2 linked regions of the Zea mays genome follow. The protein of the gene in region 1 interacts with the protein of each later gene in a pairwise test. Links are inferred from orthologs where the notes say so. Each region holds a gene or a part of one and is shown in the gene's direction. Other genes may lie near its edges.

What was found. The genes of interacting proteins can lie anywhere in the genome.
Region 2: the proteins of Nuclear pore complex protein NUP1-like (region 1) and Enhanced ethylene response protein 5-like interact in binary tests that used the Arabidopsis thaliana proteins (3 or more experiments, as listed by UniProt). The link is inferred for Zea mays from reciprocal best matches to the Arabidopsis thaliana genes NUP1 and EER5.

The regions. Positions count from the first base shown.
Region 1 is NC_050098.1:95,574,756-95,580,722, forward strand, and holds the end of Nuclear pore complex protein NUP1-like, read left to right. Parts: intron 1-2,274; coding exon 2,275-3,014; intron 3,015-3,274; coding exon 3,275-4,625; 3' UTR 4,626-4,944; downstream 4,945-5,967. UniProt on the Arabidopsis thaliana protein: Nucleoporin required for nuclear mRNA export. Functions as an adapter and/or regulator molecule in the periphery of the nuclear pore complex (NPC). May interact with importin proteins and mediate active nucleocytoplasmic transport through the NPC.
Region 2 is NC_050102.1:110,443,906-110,450,336, reverse strand, and holds the start of Enhanced ethylene response protein 5-like, read left to right. Parts: upstream 1-2,345; 5' UTR 2,346-2,364; coding exon 2,365-2,663; intron 2,664-2,736; coding exon 2,737-2,830; intron 2,831-2,918; coding exon 2,919-3,008; intron 3,009-4,758; coding exon 4,759-4,824; intron 4,825-4,939; coding exon 4,940-5,029; intron 5,030-5,111; coding exon 5,112-5,168; intron 5,169-5,277; coding exon 5,278-5,339; intron 5,340-5,420; coding exon 5,421-5,508; intron 5,509-5,984; coding exon 5,985-6,061; intron 6,062-6,131; coding exon 6,132-6,206; intron 6,207-6,289; coding exon 6,290-6,395; intron 6,396-6,431. UniProt on the Arabidopsis thaliana protein: Involved in the regulation of ethylene response. Probable TREX-2 component required for nuclear RNA export.

The DNA.
Region 1 (5,967 bases):
TATCATTGAATTAAGAAGGATCTAAAATTAGACCAAATACAAACACAACAGAAAAAAGAAATAAAGAAGAAAAAGGAGAAGAAAGAAAATAAACAAGGCCATCCTGCCCCCACAACCTAGACTCAAACAACATCCTTCCCTTATGAAGTTAGCTACTGAACTCTCTACTAGAGTATATCATCTCTCTAAATCCAACTTTTCACCACCCTCTAAAAGATTCCATCCCATTAAATCCTAGCTCCCGCAGCGGTTCCCTCTAAATTCATCCCTCTATGCACAATACACCATATTCTTATTATATTTTAAATTGGCTTTTTACATATGTATTTGTCATAGTCAAATGGTACATATATATTTAGGGTCCGTTTGGCAAAGCTCTAGCTCCAGATCCTGATCCTCGTGAGGAGTTGATCCTCCTAATTCTCCTAGAGAATCAGAATCATTTTTAAAACCGTTTGGCAAGTAAACTGATTCTTGTCTGCTGAGAGTTGGTGGTCTGTGGCGATTGTCTGTTTTACCCTTTGCAATTCAACTTTATTACAAACCAATAAGTAGGATGCATATATGGAAAAAAATTATGAAACAATAACATATAAAATATTCCCAACATAGTAGTGCATAAAATGGTCTCAAATGTTTAATCCATAAATTGGTTCGTTATGTTTTTGTCCAATGGCAATTGCGGGTAATTTCGATCAAACTTTAAGGGGAGGTCCATATTTGGTTGGTTGAGGAGCTGTTTTAAGGGAGGGTGGAGCAGGTTTTTTTAGATCCCACCTTTCTTCACAAAAACGACTCCCAATCTTTCGGCTCCACACGAGAATCAGTTTAAAAAAATACCCGTTTGGCACGGCTCCTCCAGATCCTCGCTTAGAATCAGGAGCTGGAGCTGTGCCAAACGGGCCCTTAATTCGTTGTTTAGAGTATAAGAAAATTAGAGGGAAGGAAAGAGAACACCCTAGATTTAGGGGCAGGAGCACTTACCCCTAAATTTAGGTTGTTATTTAGTGGCAACCTATGTGGCTTTAGGTTGCCCCTAAAGCCTTAGGGGTGGCTTTAGGGACAACCCCTGCGGACAGTCTAAGTCCACTCATGGGTTAAGGTTTTCAATACTACTTGTTAGACTACCCGTCTAGGGTTTGTGTTATTCCCCTTGTAATGACCGTTATACCCCCTGTGTAATGGGCCTGGCCCAGTTACTCACTCTATTAATATCACTCCCAACCCTGGTTAGGGTATGGTTCCTATTCTAATATGGTATCAGCTTTGGTTTAGGTTTAGGGGCTTCTCCCTGCCCTGCCGCCGCCGGCCCCCTGCCCAGCCGCCGCCGGCACCCTGCCCCCAGCCCCGCCGCCGCCAGGGCCTTCTTCCCCAGCCACCGGAGCTCCCTGCGCCGGCCTCTCCTCCCCCTCTCTCCCTGCTGCGCCGCCGGTTCCGCGCGCGCCTGCCCCTGCGCAGCCAGCCGCGACCGCGCCAGGCTGCAGGACCCAGCCGCGACCCCGCCCAGGCCGCCAGGACCCTGCCGCGCCCGCGCCAGGCCGCCGCCGCTCGGGTGCTTCCTGCCCAGGCCACCGCGCTGACTACTCAACATGGTATCAAAGTTAGAGACCTCAAGTTCGGATCCTGACAGAGGTATCATTTGTGTCTCCACCCCTTTATTTCCACATTTGCGCCTTTTTGTCTGGCTGCACATGATTGAGGGTGTTGAAGTGTATAAGTGCACCTTCTCTCAACAACTATGAACCTTATTTCATTTTGGCGATAATCATTGTCAGGAAGATAATCGGGCAAAGTCGGCTTGGAGGGAGACTGACTGAGTATTTGAGGGGAATTGGATTGTTTATTCTTTTTTTCTTTCCTCTTCCTTGATACATCACCTCCCTCCATATATATAGATTCCTGGCCACCAAGGAAGACTCAATCAAATCATATCCAATCCTATCTCTAATTGACCCAAATCTAATCCTATCTATAACTGATCAAATTCCTTTAATTGGTATTGTGGGACCCTGGGCCATTAGCTGATGCCCCCATAATATCCTAGGTGTCCAAAAAATGAATCCAAACATCACTCAACTAAATTATTAGTTGGAGAAAATTGCATGGATTGAGTTTGAGTCCTGAATAGTGTGACTAGGTAACAATTTTGAACTATGATGTTCCTGTGTATTTTTCTAATATTCAATTACTTTGTGGGATATTACCCTTTTGAAGCTACGAGGAACCTACTATCTGCTTACTTTTTTTTTCTGAATCTGCATTGTTAATCAACAGGTTTTGAAGAGGAAGAGTACTGTCAGCAATGAGTTTGTATCTGCTGGTCCGATACGCAGAATTCATCAAAGATACAACAGAACATCACCACTGTTGGAAACACAGCTGGGTTATCGTAGATACCCTGTGGGCTATGGAAGCAAACTCGAAGGTTCTGAGCAATTGGCACGGACTCAAAAACGCCGGTGTCTGGATAAAGTTGGTGATGCCAGTCTCGGTAGCGTAGAGGACAAAACTAATGTGAACTATCCTGGTCAGGTGCCAGAGAAGTCAGCTGAGATGGCAACTAAGATACTGAAGCAGCTTGACACATTAGTACCTTCACAGAAGGAAAACACATCAGAAACAAAGCAGAAACATGAGAGTGCCATATATTTCGAGGAAGATGTTTCTCGACAAAAGAAAGTACAAGCAGAGAGAGATCTTTTGGAACCTTCTCCATCAGAAGTACCTGATGGTATTGCATCGAACAAATCAATCTCACAAATTACCTTGAACAAGGAAAAGCCTCCAGCCTTTTCTTCCAGAGGTAATGCTCCCAATCTGGTATTATCTGATGAAATTGGACGAAGCAAAATGTCCACTCCAGGAAATGGCTTCACCTTCCCTGCCCCGACTGTCAACAATGCCTACTCACAGGGCCCTCCAACACCTACATTGACATCTCCTATACTAACAGTTGAAAAGCAGCCTTCAGTATTCTGCAGTGCTTCAGTCACTTCTGCACAAAGTGACCCTAGGTTAGTTCCTGATTGATAATGAAATACAGATCAAACTTTTTCTGGCACTGAATAGTACTTCAATTTTGCTGATACTTAAAGTGCCAATAACACAACCTGTCATTTGTTGGAACATGAATGACCACATTTGGTTAATCTGTTTATTAGTCGGAGCTATTTGGCTGGACCATGCTGTTTTTGTTTGCCACTCTATTTTGTAATCTTTTTAAGCATAAAATGAAGTACATTAGATTCTAATATTGATGTCTTTTTCTTTCCAGGATTTCAAAATCAGTTTTGGGAGGACCAGTTACACAGAAATTAGAAAGCAAGTTAAATGGAGATAATCAACGAGTGCCTTCCAAGAATTCTGGACAAGTTGCATCTTTCACAAGTAATCCTGTATTTAAGGTTGATGGCCCTGGGCATGCGTCAAACTCTGTTCTCTCAGCTGTACAATCTTATAATACATCAACTGGCTCAGTTTCATTTCAAAGTGCTGGCTCTTCTACCATCTCCACTAACTTAACTTCAAACATTACACAGAGCTGTTCAACTGGAGGCAGTTTCACTTTCTCCAATACTCGTTTTGGTAGTTTATCGGCAACCTCAAATATGTTTGCAGCAAAATCTTTAGCGTTGTCTTGTACAGCAAGCCCCGGTGCTTCTTTGGGTTTCCCTCCAGTTCATACTGCAAGTTCTCCAGCTGCTCACCGCAAATCTGAAGCAGCAAATAGCAGTATCAGTTTTAGTTCCATGCAGCAGTTTGGCATTGCAGGTTCTTCCACAGTGCAGGACAAATCCAAGGCAGTAGACAGCAGTACCCCTTTTGGCTTTCCCCAGAAGTTTGACACCGTGAGTTCCGCTTCAGAGGATATGTCCAAGGCAGACTCTCCTGAGCCGACATTTTTTTCTGGGAATCATAATGTGCAATCAGAAAATTGCAGTTCCCTGTTCACACAGAGTCCAGGAAATAATTTGAGTTCCAAATCTTCAGAAAATTTGAACTCTGGAAGCTCGCATAGTTTTGCAGATTCACCAGTTGGTTCAGCAACAATGTGCTCTAGCCCTTCGAATTCAAACTCTCTGTTTTCTTGGGCTGCTGGCTCAGGTGCAAGAACTGCTCCACCATCTTCCCCTGCTACAAGCTCATCTTTTGCTTTTAGTTCCAGTCCAGCATTTTCAGCACAACCAGTATTCGCCAGCAAATTGACTACACCTGCTTCACTTTCATATGGCTCACCAAATACTGGCCCTGCTACATCACCATTCAGCTCAATGCCAAGCGCTGTATTTTCATTCACGTCAGCTACTCCTTCAATACCAAATCCATCACCCACAACACCAATATTTGGTGACCCTACTGTACAGATGAATGGAGGGAACATAGTTATTGACAGGAATGGGTCCCCTTCCCCTGCAACTTCGCCATTTGGCTTGCCAAGCAGCTCTCCATCGACTCCAACTTTCAGTACGCCTGCAACTCAGTTTGCTTCTAGTACATCAGGCTCACCTGGAGTTTTTGAAATTGGCAAGTATAGTCAAGCTTCTTCAGGTGGGTTCTCAATGGGCCCTAGTGGTGGCAACGACAAATCAAACAGAAGAATTGTCAGAGTTAAGAGAAGGAAATGAAATACCAATATTTTTCAAGTTGCTCTGAGCATTTATAAGACTAAGGCAATCAGCACGTAGAACTTTTTGTTTCACATCATTTGTCTGCGGTGGCAATGAGAATGAGATGCCATTCTTAAATTGATGATCACAATTCTGGCACAGTAGCAGCAATGGAACTAGCCTTTTCGCGATACGGTCGCCCATGACATTTTGTTGTACGGTTTGTCACAACAATGCTATAATGAAATATATAGGTACTTCTCCAACTTGTATTAAACATGTTCAGCGATCAAGCTGCCCTTTTTTTGTGCAATTGGATCCTGAAACTAAATTTCATCCTAATAATAATAATTTAGGCACGCCAATTATTATTATTGATTATGCAGGTGAGATTTATGTACTATATTTTTTTACTGTGGGGAGCGAGTCAAATAATGAACAACATGTTATAATGTTATAAGTTATAAAAAAGTAGAAACATAACATGGTGATGCATATAAATTTTAATCTATTATCTGATAAATTTAAGGAAGAAATATCTGAAATCTTGAAAGTATGGATTTTTTTATCAAGTAAAATTTTAATTCCTCTATAGTGTAAAAGATCGAAACGGCCCTTCTTTTCCCTTTTTTGTTTCGTATATAGTTTTTTTTTCAGTTGAGTTCGCTGTGTCTGTGTTTTGAAAAGCGATGTAACCTTCAAAGTAACATGGCGGTTCCGAATGATTTCAGTCATCTGTATAATTCCTAAGTTTTTTTTAATATGCCTTTGTTATGAAGTTAAATATATATACTATGTCTAAATAGATAAAAACCTATCTAGAAAAACTAAAATGTCTCATAAGTTATTTTGATTTTTAGGTATATTATGTTTGACAAGTATGTATCTAGATTTTTAGGTATATTATGTACTATGTCTAAATATATGATAAAACTGTATATGTAGAAAAAACAAAATACTTCATAGGCTACCGATAAGTTTTTTTAGTCTTTCATGTTACATTCTGAATTACTATTTATAGAGCTATTTAAATAAAAATTACTTGCCATATCTTTGAACCCTGTACACCTCTTCTATAAAAAAAGTGGGCGTATCAGAAGAAAAGAATGGTTTCCTGCAGTACTTTTTAGTAGGGGAAGTTCCAATATATATATAGCCTTCTCGAAAGAAGAGCGCGCGCAGAGCTCTAAGAAAAAGCATCACTCACTTACAATAATAATGAGGACCAGGAACCAATCTCTTTGTTGCGAGGAATCCAGGAAATAACTAACTCCAAGTCACTTAACTCACTCTGTAAGGCCGTGAAAATCCCAAAGGGAATATAGGAAATACAAGTCAGTCAAAGAAATGCAATTCGGAA
Region 2 (6,431 bases), on another chromosome or scaffold:
GGGTGCTCGTAGTAGGGGTTACAAGCGTCGCGAGAGAGAGAGCCTGTTCGTTTGCTCGTCCCTCCGCGCGACCTCTCCCGCAGGAAGGCCCTGGACCTCCCTTTTATAGATGCAAGGAGAGGGTCCAGATGTACAATGGGGGGTGTAGCTATGTGCTAACGTGTCTGGCAGAGAAGTGCATGAGCCCTGTGTACATGCCAACATGGCTGTCGGAGAAGTGCTTGAGCCCTGCGTACGCGATAACGTGGCCGTCGGAGAAGTGCCTGAGCCCTGTAGAAGCACAGCTGGCGGTGCGGCTGGGATCCTGCTGACGTCTCCTTGCTTTCGTAGGAGGCTGAGAACCACCGACGTCATGGACGCACGCGGGGAACCATCATTACCTGTTATCGGGGCGAGCCAGATGGGACGCCGGTCTTGTTCCCTCGTAGCCTGAGCTAGTTAGGGGTAGGGTAATGATGTATCCCTTGTGGCGCGGTCGGTCCGAGCCCAAGGTCGGGCGAGGCGGAGACTTCTCCTGAGGCCGAGGCCGGGGTCGGGCGAGGACGCGATTCCTCCCAAGGCCGAGGCTGAGACCAAGTCTTGGGGTCGGGCGAGGCGGAGACCTCCTCCCGAGGCCGAGGCCTAAGGTCGGGCGAGGCAGAGCTTCCTGTTGCGCCCGAGGCTGAACTCGGCTGTTGTCAGTCTTACCCCGGTGGGTGGTTGGCACAGTAGTCGGAGCGGGGCGAGCGACGCTATTTTCCTGTCAGATCGGTCAGTGAAGGGGCGAAGTGACCGCGGTCACTTCGGCCTTGATGACTGCGGTGCGCGTGTCAGGATAAGGTGCCAGGCGATCTTCACATTGAATGCGCATGCGATACGGTCGGTTGGTAAGACGATTTGGCCAAGGTTGCTTCACGACGAAGCCTGCCCGAGCTGGGCTTCGGGCGAGCTGAGGGTGCGCCCACTATCTGAGGAGGCCCTCGGGCGAGGCGTGAATTTGTCCAAAACTACTGTTTCTGCCTGAGGCCGGGCTCGGGCGAGGCGAGGTTGCGTCCCTTGGTAGACGAGGCCTTGCTCTGAACCGTGCCCATCAGCCTTTGCGGTTTGTGCTGAGGGTGCTTACCAGCCGTGTTTAGGAGTGTTGAGGGTACCCCTAATTACGGTACCCGACAATTTGACTTTCTATTTTTTCATCTCCCGCAGCGGTTTCCCCTAAATACTCCCCCTATACCTCAGTACAACCATAAAATATCATTTTCTATACCTATTTTTCACCTCCTATCAATTTTTCATATACTAACAATTAACCGTGTACCCACAACATAGTAGATAGGGGAGGAAAGGAGGGCACGCTGCATCCGGAGGGAGAGATAAGAGGAGAGCGTGCGGCTGCACAGTAGGGAGCACTCTAGGGGGCAGTGATGCGGCACGTAGCGGCTTCCTGTTGCCTCTACCGAGAGGGAGCTGCCGCAGGAAGCGCTGCGGTTAGCCTAACTGTGGGCCTGTTTGGTTCAGTTTTTTCTGACCAGCTTTTCTGAAAATCTGGCTGTGGAGAGAATCTGAGTATCATTACGATTACATGTGGAGGGAGATAAAGTTGTTCATAGGGCTTAGGATCTAGAAAGTGACGGATTCCTACTATTACAATGACTCAACCGATTATGTGTTTATTTCTATTTTGGATGGTTTTTGCCCCAACGAATTTTATAGAAGCTGGCTGAAAAGCTGAGCGTTTGGCAGTCCGCAGCAGCTTTTGGTGACCAGAAGCTGCCAGAAGCCGAAACAAACAGGACCTCTAAATTGTGAGGTGATTTTGGTATATCAAACCTGCTCACGTTTATTAGCTGCTCGAATCCACATGAATAAAAACACATAAGGCCTTGTTCGTTTGTGTCGGATTGGTGGGTCAAAACGATTCCGAGCCGAATTGCTTCTCTAATTTATATAAACTTTGATTAGCCGGAACAATTTCGGGTGCAATCCGACGTAAACGAACGAGGGCCTAAGAGATACTCTAATGAGGTGTTTGGTTTGATGAACCACTTTATCCAAAATGAAGTGGTGCATCATGGGTCCATTCCTCAAATTTGGTGGGATGACTCCGTTCCACATATTAGTACTAAACAACTAACTATAAGGAATGATGTGGTGATGAATTAACTCACTCCATTCCACAAACCAAACAAAAAAGTGAGGAGTGAGAAGATGATGGACTATATTATTCCTCAAACCAAACACTCCATAAAATCTGTTCGGGCCGGACGGGTCGGGTCGGACCGGCTCAGTTTTACTGGTCGCGCACCGGCTTCTACCATCCGCCACCGCCCGCCGCGGAATTCGGAAACCCCAAACCCCAACGCGGCCGCTGTGACGCTGTCCCTGGAGATGGCGGCGTACTTGAGCATGGGTGAAGCGCAACGCCGCATCGGCGACTACCTCTCTCGGGTGACCAACGCCATCTCCTGCTCCGACGCCGCCGCGCTCGCCTCCCTTCTTTCCGTCTCCTCCGCGCCGGCCTCCACCCCGCTCTCCGACGCGCTCGCCGCCATCCCGGACTTCCCGCGCCTCGCTGGAGATCGCTACCCCGACCTTGCCGACCTCCTCGTTCCGTTGCTCCGAGCCATCCACTTCCACTCCATCCAGCGCTTCGCCGACGCCTACTCCTCGTTCGAGAAGGCCTCCAAGTTCGTTCCGCATCTTCCCGATTCGGTTCAATCTATTGGAGTTTTCGAGGATGTGACGTATTTTTGGTTGCAGCGCGTTCCTGCAGGAGTTTAGGAACTGGGAGACGCCGTGGGCGATGGAGGCGATGCACACTGTGGCGCTCGAGATCAGGCTAATCGCCGAGAAGGTGAGCGGAGGTGTCTGATCTGGCCATCTGGGTTTGTATTTTTTTTGTTATTTCGGCTCACATATTCTGGTTCGTTATCTTGATGTAGGCAGATAGGGAGCTTGCGACGAATGGAAAGAACCCTGACAAGCTTCAGGCGGCTGGGTCTTTTCTGATGAAGGTTTTTGGTACACTAGCGGTATGTTATCGTTCAAAAGATTTGTGCAGTCTTCTTAATCAGAATTTGGTCTTTTTAAGCATTTGATGAATTACCAGGACAGTTATGAACTGCATTTGTTAGTTGTTGTGCTAACCAGCTAGGCTTGAATAGTTGATGTTGGGACTATAGAAGATAAACTATCATTTGATGCAGTGTCTTATCATTTTCCGATTCATTAAATTATGAGGAACACCATTGAGGTGATTGTTTTACATAGAAATCTTCCTAGACCTTTTGTGGTTATTCCTTCAGTTTGGTCTTTGATGAATCACTAGCAAGTAGCAAATACGCCTGTAGCAAATATGCCAGTGTATTGGAATGGGGAAATCCTCGTATTCCCCTATTCCAGTAATAAACATGGTACAATATTTTTCATTTTATCGTGTACATGAAAAAACCACTTTAATCGTAGAGGAAAACCATCTATTTGTGAAGAATCACATGACAAACCCAACTTACAAATAAATAATTGATTTCCCGTACATTGCTATGATAAGATATTAATTACATTATTTTAGTTTGAACTTGCTAGGGATGCAAGATAGGTTGTTTGCGAACCCGTAAATAGGTTTAATTTTGTGGGTTACCCACATAACCCACAAAATTAAGCCTATTTGTGGGTTCGCAGATAACCCGCCTTGCATCCGTAGAGCTTGCAGAGTTTTAATTTCTGCCGTTATAGTTTCCATTGCATTCAAGTGATTCAACATGTCTAAATCTTTGCTAGAAACTGTAGAATCTTAGCTTAATATGTTTTCTTCAACTAAAGTGCTTGTTACATCTCAACCATTTTTTTTTGCAATATAATTTCTTTGGACAAAGATTGTTAGCTTGGCCTGGGTACAGTGTAGCAAGCGTGCTTCCATTGCTCAATCCATGTAGCAGATGAATTAAGCTACTACTTAAAGAGGAAGTCCTCCTATCCAGCAGAGATATTCATTTATCTAGCATTAGTCCCTCTATATAGCAAACATATTGATTTTATTAAGTTTTTTTTTGCTTTCCCTTGGGATATTATTTTGCTTTAGTCTATCTTAGTATTGGTGTTTTTCTATATATTGCCATTTTAAGTATTTTCTCTATTGGTTTTGTCATGGCAGCATATAGCTTGAATATTAGTTGTCCTTTTTTCAGACATAGAGACAATAGACTTACTACTATCAGGATCAAAACATGTATACCATTAGGCAAGAATAAAGAAGTGATTACTGACTACTACCTGTAGCTTGTCTCAAGGAAGCAGCCAAATGCACATGTCCAACAATCATTTGTTAGCAACTTAGCATCTGGTAATGGCCTGGCACACCTGTGCAGTAGATGCCACTGTTGTGCCTTCATATGTACAACCCCAGAGGTGCATGCAGTAACAGCTCAAGGCACATGGGGTCGTCAAGCCATCGCAGCCCGCAGGTATATTCTGCACATGCTGCACGCAAAGCATGTCAAAGTTGTGTGATTGTATCCTTGGGAGTATGTAGGGCCCACATGCTGTCAGACAGGAGGGAGTGCAGAGGACTCCGGTTATTCTCAATGATGATGCACACGTGTGTACAATTTCCATGTGATTGATGGACGATAGACTCGGACTTTGTTTGTGGAGTGCTTGAGAGTTGGATGCTTCTAGGAGCGACAGAATAAACCTCATTCCCTTTAATATTAGTAGAGGTAGAGATATTTACTTTTTTCCATCATTTATGTTGTGATAGCTATTTTCTGCCCAATGTTTCAGGTGAAAGGGCCTAAGCGTATTGGGGCACTCTATGTTACCTGCCAGCTATTCAAAATTTACTTCAGGGTAGGATAATTTTCCTTGTCAAGTTTTGTTCTGGTATATGTAACTTTGTAATTGGGTTCTCATGGTTTGGGTTTTAAGTTAACAAGTGCTTGAAGCTGATGATGAAATTATGCAGCTTGGAACAGTAAACCTTTGCCGTAGTGTCATAAGAAGTATCGAAACTGCAAGGAATTTTGATTTTGAAGACTTTCCAGTGAAAGACAAGGTGAGATGAACATAGGTTACAGAATTATTTCTCAGAGACTTAAACATGCCTTTACATTTTGTTGTTGCTTGTGATGGTACAGGTCACTTATATGTACTACACTGGGCGGTTGGAGGTGTTTAACGAGAACTTTCTTGTTGTAAGCTCTGTCTCTCACACATGTGAATTTATTCATGGTTACAAACTACGATGATTTCAACAACAAAGCAGCGAAACTGCTTACAACAGATTTTGTTTAACTGGATCAGGCAGATCAGAAGCTAACTTATGCTTTGATGCATTGCAATCCTCAAAGCGAGTCAAATTTGAGGTACTTCTATTGCATGGGGTTTTCTGGCTTGTGGTTTGACAGACCTGGGTGTTTATACTATAACTTTTGTTTCATTTGTAGGAGAATTTTGAAGTTCCTTATCCCTGTAAAGCTTTCAATAGGTGTACTGCCAAAAAGGACTCTTTTGGAGCGGTATAGTTTGCTTGAGGTATTTTTTACTCACACTTAGTTTCTTACTTAAGCTGGAGTAAGTTCTAGGCTTCTGTCGCGCAATTTATGCTGTATAATTGAACCGTTCAGCTTTTTACAGCCACAAAATGAGCGAGCACGGTTTGCTTAATCATTTGTTAAGCATTTTTGGACAGCATCTAGATGCTGTACGGTGGTACACTGTTTATGTTTAATTGGCTGTTTTATTCCGTTTAAATGGCTATTTAGTTTGAATAATGGTTAAAGAGTAAGTAACCAACTGTTTGGCGTTGGAAAACACTGTGCGTGGATTTTGCCTCACAAGTTACTTAAGTAACGTCTTAAGTCACAAATATGCTTTTCCACTGTAGGTTTTTATTTGGTTTTGTGAACATGTATGCCTCGTTTTTAACAATGCTATAGCTACTCATATATGGTGATCTCCCCTTCTTTTTAGTAGTTAATATTTGCACAAGTGGTAATATAACATTTCAGTATGCAGATGTTGTCACTGCACTTAAGAGAGGAGATCTCAGGCTTCTCAGGCAAGCTCTAGACAGGCACGAAGACCAGTGAGTTGATCTGTTCTTGTGCTTAAAAAACCCAATTCCTTTTGCCATCTCTGATAGCTTGTTTTGCAAGATTTTTGAAATCTGGCGTCTACCTTGTACTGGAGAAACTTGAACTTCAAGTCTATCAGAGATTAGTTAAGAAAATGTGAGCTCAAAACTGAACCTGGCATTGTCGTACTTTATAGTATTTTATGACTGAACTATTTTGGCCCTGCTATTCTTTCACAGCCACATCATTCAGAGACAGAAGGAACCAGCTAAGGCACATCAGATTAAGCTAGATGTTGTCGTAAAAGCTCTGAAATGGCTTGAAATCGACATGGATGTGGATGAGGTGATTTGAGTGTACAATAGGTTACGTTATGTTTTG